Saccharomyces cerevisiae S288C: one gene and its partner. Changing the gene in region 2 together with the main gene of any one other region gives a genetic interaction. Each region holds a gene or a part of one and is shown on either strand. Other genes may lie near its edges.

Region 1 (3,127 bases), on a different chromosome or scaffold from region 2:
CCAAACATGTCCATTTTTGGTTAATAAACTGAATATTAAAGTACTTCCGTTTGTAGTTGGATACAAGAATGGCCTAGAAAAAGTTCGCTACGTAGGATTTAGTAAACTGGGAAATGACCCTAATGGGTTTGATATTAGGAGGCTAGAGCAATCTTTAGCCCATTCAGGTGTTATAGAAGACACATTCGAAATAAGAAAGCATTCATCTGTGAATACGGAACGCTTCGCTTCTACAAATCATGATAGAAGTGAAAGTGATAGTGATTTAGATATATAACTAAATAACCATTACCTCCCTACTAAAAATGACTCGATGGTCTTTTAAGCCATACGCATGAGCGAAAATGGTTCCTCCTGTTCAAACTAAATCGGTTATTCGAGCGTACCGTTGAAAATTTAATAAAACGTTTTGGGGGATTTATAGAAAGTTAAATACGAAATATGCGTATAGTAATGTTTATACATGAAACTCAAAAATGCGACTGTGTTCCTTAAAATAATAAAAGTTGAGTACGAATAACGATGACTGAGAAAGGTAGTGTATATTGTATATAAAATTGGACCATCTTTGTAGTAAAGACAAAAAAACCAATAAATGCAGATAAACTTAGCAGAACTAACTCTAAATTTAACTTTCCTTGGATGATTTTTCATTGAGTTTTTGAGTAAGTTCTAGGATTTGTTGCTTCAAGTCATCATTCTCAACCAATAAATGTGCTCTGTGAATTTCACTATCCTTTAAAGAGTCCATAGATTTTTTCAATTGAATACAAGATCTCGCGTAACCTTCTTTAATAAAATTGAAATTGAGCAGCAATTTATGAGTATTAATTATTCTTGCCTTCATTTCCGAAATTTGACTTATTGTAAACTCATTTGTGAACTTAGCAGGCTTCGTTGCAGATACAATGTCTTGTCTTGCAGAATCTATTTTAGATGTTATATCAGTAATCATGGATTCTATTTTTAGGTGGGATTCATTAGCGTCGGATGAAGCTAACGAAGATGAAGGTGATAGGGATGCAGGGGATAACATGGGTTCATTTGTGGTTTTCAAAAGGGATTTTTTCTTCTTGATGGTGGGTTTATCTATCTTATAGTTCTTTTGTTCTTTATCAGGTTTATGTACGTTATTTTGGTTTGTACTTTTATCTAATGATGCCTTGCCAGTATAACCCTTTTTATGCCTATCGAGATCAATACCAACTAGGCTATCATTAGCACTTCTCTGCATTTCCAAAAGTGTGCTCGAATCGGTGTTGTGTTCATCGTTAAATAAAGATTCCAATGTTAGGTGTTTCTGAGAAGCGATGTCGGAATCAAAAATATCAGTGCAGTCTAAATTATCCATCATAACTTGTTCGAGATCCTTTCCCAAATCTAAACTCTGCCCATCAATCTTTACTGTATCATCAAAATGATTATTTGCCTGAGTGAGCAGCCGATGCAACGTATGTTCTATATTGGCATCATCTGTTAAATCTGTATTCGGATTGGACTGATTCGTGTTCATTATCTTCACGTTTTCCCTATCACAACCTTAGTGTAACTTGAACCAACAAAATTTAAGATGTCAAAACTTCAATCAAGTATTGAGCTCTTCAATAGGGCACTAGCCCTCTGAAATTTTTCATTGAAAATACCGTACCGCATGTTTTTTGGAAATTTTTCATCTCATCGCTAAAGTGGAAAAAAAAAATTCTAGAAACTGAAAAAAAAGAGAAAAAAAAATGACAGAAAATATTTGATTTATATCAAGATGACACGAGTTTGCAAAAAGAGAAAGACACGCTATAGAAACTATTTTGGCAAATTAATCTATTCACTTATTTTTGAGTTTCTGAGTGTAGTTATATGCAAAGAGGCTATAAATCCTTATTTTTTTGAGAAAAAATGCTTGAGAAAAAATGCTTGAGAAAAGATGTATTTTTTTTTATTCGTTAGCATTTTTCCAGATATCGTTGAACATTGCTAGAATACTATCAAACCCGACTTTCCCCTTCACCGCGTTATCACTAAAACGTTTAACGCCCCAGTTTTCTACTTTCTCACTAAAGGTTTTGGTCGGAACACCAGACAGAAACTTTGCATCCTGCTTGAAAAGAGTCACATTCGATGGATTTTTCGGATGAGGAACATAACGTACGGTTTCGTAACACTTCAAAATATGCGGGAAGGTCATATTGCAACTCCTCATAGTTAAAGATCTGTCCCTTCGATCAACGGTGGAGACCTCTCGCACGTATGCTAAATTAGTGTTCCCCACTAAAATGGACATCCAGTGAGGGGTGTTCTGACGTATGGTTATCAGCCGTTCTGTAAGAAGTACATCGCCATGTTCTTTGAGCTCTCGGCGGAGCACATCGACTGCAATAACGTGTGTGGAGATCTTGTTTGGATATTTCATCCAGTTCGCCGTGGTGACTTTCTCCCATGGGTAATCGAATTCATAAGATTTTTGAAATGATTTCATTATTAATATATAAGCTCGAGAGATATATGACTAATAGAAATATTTACTTGAACTTGTCGATTAGAGAAAAGAAAATGCGTTGCTTGGACCGCAGATCCCACTTATTGTTTTCTTGCCAAATGTAACAAGATCTATAGGTTTATGAACTTTCTTCGAAAATCTCATTACTTTTTTTGATAAATAAACGGGCCCCTTGCGGACAAAGCCCTGAAAATTGAAGATTTACGCAGTATCACGTAAACCCAAAAAAAAAAATACAATATCGGTTAAAGTGCTGTTTTAATTTAGAATATATGTTTTACTAATCTATTTATAATCAAGTATATGTGTAATTTGGCTTTTTCCCTTGCCTTGTGCTTAACCTAGTTTTTTTCAGGTGATTATTTTACCGGGCATTACCTCCTAATACCCATCCTCCCATGTTATCCATATCATCTTCGCCGTATAAATCCAGGGTGACGGCTTTTTTATAAACGGGTTTGGTGACTGTAGAATTCGAGTTTGAGTATTTCACTCCTTCAGTTGTTACATCTGTAAAGCCTGCACTATCATTGTCATCATAGAGATTTAGATTGAAATTATTGGAATTTATACCAGTATTATTGTCGTTATCATTATCATTATAGTTATCATTGTCTGGGTGATTCGGTACTA
Region 2 (3,648 bases):
ATAAAAATTTTAAAAATAAATGGCAAAATTGGGAGAAACTTATTGATGAAAATGCGTCATACTTGATATTGTATTTTTGCCAATCTATGCTGGCCAAACTAGAGACTGAAAAAATTACTGGTAACTCATGGAGAAACAAAAAACGGAGAAAACAAATTGATAGCACAGTGGAAATCGAGGCAAAACTGAAGGAAAACATAGACAATTTATCATTAAGGTTTAATGAAGGTGAAATAAAGCTGTATGATTTTATTCCTGCGGAAAAAGATTCCGTTCCATTGAAGAAGGAAGTGAGTCCGGCATTAAAGGCTGATACCAATGATATACTAGGCGATTTGGCGTCTTTGAAACAGAGAATGAGCAGTTTCGGAACAGTAGGTAAAAAAAATAAACAAGAGGAGAACAGAGCTACACCAGTAAAAAATTGGTCAAGGGTTCAAAATTGGAAACCCAAACCCTTTGGTGTCCTGTAACCTGTTTCCAATGCTCGTTATAAATACGTTGTAGACTATAAAGCTGAGTTGTATGCTGCACCCTAACGTGCATGTATATATAATCACAGTCTCTTTAACCTAATATGCAAACGAAAATGATTTAATCAAAACAACCTCATACTCTATGGGAATAATCTTTCAAGATACCGGTCATATGAGTGTTAGTAATCTTACCCTTTCTTTGTCTCTTCTTTTTAACTTCAACTCTCTTTGTTTGTCTTTTGATAGTAGCAGGATCGACACTAGCAGGCTTTAGACCTAAATCTTGCAGCTTTCTTGGCAATTCTGCAAATTGCGGTAATTGCACATTTTCCCACATTTTAACAAACTCCTCGTCAATACATTTCAAGTTACCACCGCTGTTATACCAAACGTATCTTGGAGTTTTATCCTTTTTAGTTCTTAACACCAAAATTTTGCTGTCTTCCTCCAGTTGGTTAATCGTTTCATCGCATTGTGGCCAACCGTCTTTCAAGTCTTTGCAGGAAATACCTTTGAATGTTACTTGTGAACGTAACAACTTCAGCAGTTCCGAAGGGGAATGGACATCGTAGGTGGAAAGGTATTTGAAAGTCCCCTTCTTGGGGTCAAACTCTATTCTATCTAATTTTTTTAAAAGCTCAATAACCTTGTCATCTTTTTTCATTGACAAGTAGTCCAATAACTCATTCACCAAAACGGGCTTACCTTTCTTTTGAATGTATTCAGTCGCCCAAAGCAACTTTGAAGAATCGTGACTCTTGGAAATATCTGTTTGATTTGCTTGTAAAGCGGCTGCAGCAATAGAGCCAGGCCTTACTTTTTTTGAAGGAGAGCTACCAAAATCTTCGTCGTCATCGTCGTCATCTAATGAAATAGCATTAGAGCTATTGCTCCCAGCTTCTTTCTTGATATCCACTAACACAGGATTTTTCGCAGAGTTCAAAGTGTTTTCTTGCGCACGTTCGGAGGCCGTCCTCTTCCTAGTGTTTCCATCTATAGTAATCACTGTGTCATTGGTCTTCTTCTGTCCAACTTTAGCGGGTGCGATCACCGGGGCAGACTTCACTTTGCTTTTGAAAGCGTTCAAATTAGCCAGTAGAGGGTCCCTGTTTTTACTCATCGCAAAAGACTACTCTCTTTTCCAAATCGAACGAACTACTTGGTATAAAACAGTTCTGTGTAACAGCTTTCTCGTGTTCTACAGAGCACACGGTTATGTAACTAGTTCACTTCTTATTAGCTCTTTTGCCCTGATTCGTAAGTGAACTTCTTACCCGAAGTAAGCTCGCGCTTTTCTTTTTCTTCTCGCATATAACATTTTGACTATAAAAGCCGTGAACTATAGCATTTGCTACCAGAAAGAATTTTTCTTGCCCTGGACCTTTGATGCTTTAAAAAACATTTCTCTTAAAAGAAAGCATAACAATTTGTGATGCTTTAGGGAGCCTATTGTTTGATGGTTTATAGGAGCCGGATTTGTCTTTTTGACTAATTTTCAACCTATTCTTACTTCCAAAACTGTTGCAATGGCTCTCGTTTTTTTTAAATTTTTCTCTTTTCTCTTCTTTGGCATAGTTTATTTTTAATAAATTATTTCAGGGTGAGATAGAGAAAGGATAATGAGTATCGTAGATAAATCTTCGGTTCCGAATAGTGTAACTGTTGGTGCTGAGGTAATCCATCTTTAAAACCATCGCCGTTAGAGGTTGCTTCTGATATTTTCGGTTAAGCGACCCATGAAATGGTGATGACCTGAGGTATGGAACATCTTTCTTGATGGTTACTTTGTTATATATACGTATTTATAGTATGCGGATACACGCTTTTCTCGCTATGAATCGTGTTTGAGGAAGTATTTACCGCTGCCGTCCTTCCACCATCTTCTCAGGCAGCTGATGACATTGAGATCAATATTGTCTGGGTGATTGCTATCACAAAGACATCTTTGTTGAAGTCTCAGGTAGTATGCAGATGGACACGTGCCAAAAGGCATATGCTTATAGCCTAATTCATCAAAATGGATGATTTCGTCTTTTTTCAAAAGAAGTGAGGCAGCAATCGAATGAACTGGTGCATCTCCCCACCTTTCATAGTAAAAACCGCCCTTTGAATCCAAGTACTCGAAAAATCTAATGTATTTCTCACTTCTGAAAAAGTTCAAATCGCCAATTTCAAAATTTGTCCAAAAATGACATAAATTATAGCCGCTGTTACTATCGATGACACCAAAAGATTTACCGATGAAGTCGAAATTTGATACGAACCCGAAAGCGTTGCTTTCCATGTCAATATCTGCTGACTCTGTTTCTTCGAGATATTCTTCTACAGCTTCCCATAGGCTCGGAATTGTATCTTCGTATTCATACATAGTTATCACAAAGCCATATTTCTTATTGTTCTGCCTCATCACCTTGAATGGATCGTAGGGAAAATCGCAAAAATACTCTACATCTGGCTCAACTCTGAAATAAAAATCGTACGGATCTAATATCTTTTGTCTAAAGAAAAATCCAGAATTAAATCGGCACATATTTCTATATGACTTTGACCCACCGTACAAGATATTTTTTTCCTCCATTAATTGTAAAGCCTCTTCAAATAGAGTTTCGTTGATCCAAGATGGCCTGTTCCAGTCCTCCGCAGGGATTAAAGCGTATTGCGTTCTACCACTAGCCATGGCTGTGGTGGCTTCGATGAACTCTTGATCAAATGGGACATCATTAAGAAATGTCCAGTCATACTGGTAGTTTTTATTGAAACGGTCTTCTAGTGATCTCATGGAACGGAGTGCCCCCGAAAGTTCCCAATTACGCACAAGCATTAACAATGTAGCATTTTCTCTTTGATTTTTTATTCCCTTGGTCTTGTTTAGTGGTTCATCATTATAAGTGTTGCTAGATAGCTTCAGCGTCTGATTCATATGTCGCCTCCTTGTAAAATCATATCTCGATGAAACTTCTCGAGATCTTCTAAAAAAATACGAATCTAGGCTCAGCTGTCTCTGATATGGTACAAGTGCAAGCCAACATGTTTGAGCTATCAAGCAAAATAGAAGACTAACAAAAAGTAGTTTTTTAACCTGTGTAAGAAATACCTTGCAGATTTGCATGAAGCTCCTACGCTTTTAAATAAACAACTATTGTATAGAAAAAACGCAAAAAAAGCGTTGCAT

What was found. A genetic interaction does not mean that the proteins touch.
Region 1: mutations in TFA2 (region 2) and ATC1 together harm fitness more than expected from each alone (negative genetic interaction), as found in Saccharomyces cerevisiae (2 studies listed by BioGRID).

Annotation. Positions count from the first base shown.
Region 1 is NC_001136.10:830,001-833,127, forward strand, and holds ATC1 (Atc1p), read right to left. Parts: upstream 1,514-3,127; coding exon 629-1,513; downstream 1-628. Other genes in the region: PLP1 (Plp1p), read left to right, coding at 1-277; UPS3 (Ups3p), read right to left, coding at 1,934-2,473; SND1 (Snd1p), read right to left, coding at 2,859-3,127. UniProt on the Saccharomyces cerevisiae protein: Involved in cation homeostasis and in the regulation of the cation stress signaling cascades. Also involved in bipolar budding.
Region 2 is NC_001143.9:557,614-561,261, reverse strand, and holds TFA2 (transcription factor TFIIE subunit TFA2), read right to left. Parts: upstream 1,597-3,648; coding exon 610-1,596; downstream 1-609. Other genes in the region: rRNA-processing protein LAS1, read left to right, coding at 1-473; mannosyltransferase KTR2, read right to left, coding at 2,308-3,585. UniProt on the Saccharomyces cerevisiae protein: Recruits TFIIH to the initiation complex and stimulates the RNA polymerase II C-terminal domain kinase and DNA-dependent ATPase activities of TFIIH. Both TFIIH and TFIIE are required for promoter clearance by RNA polymerase.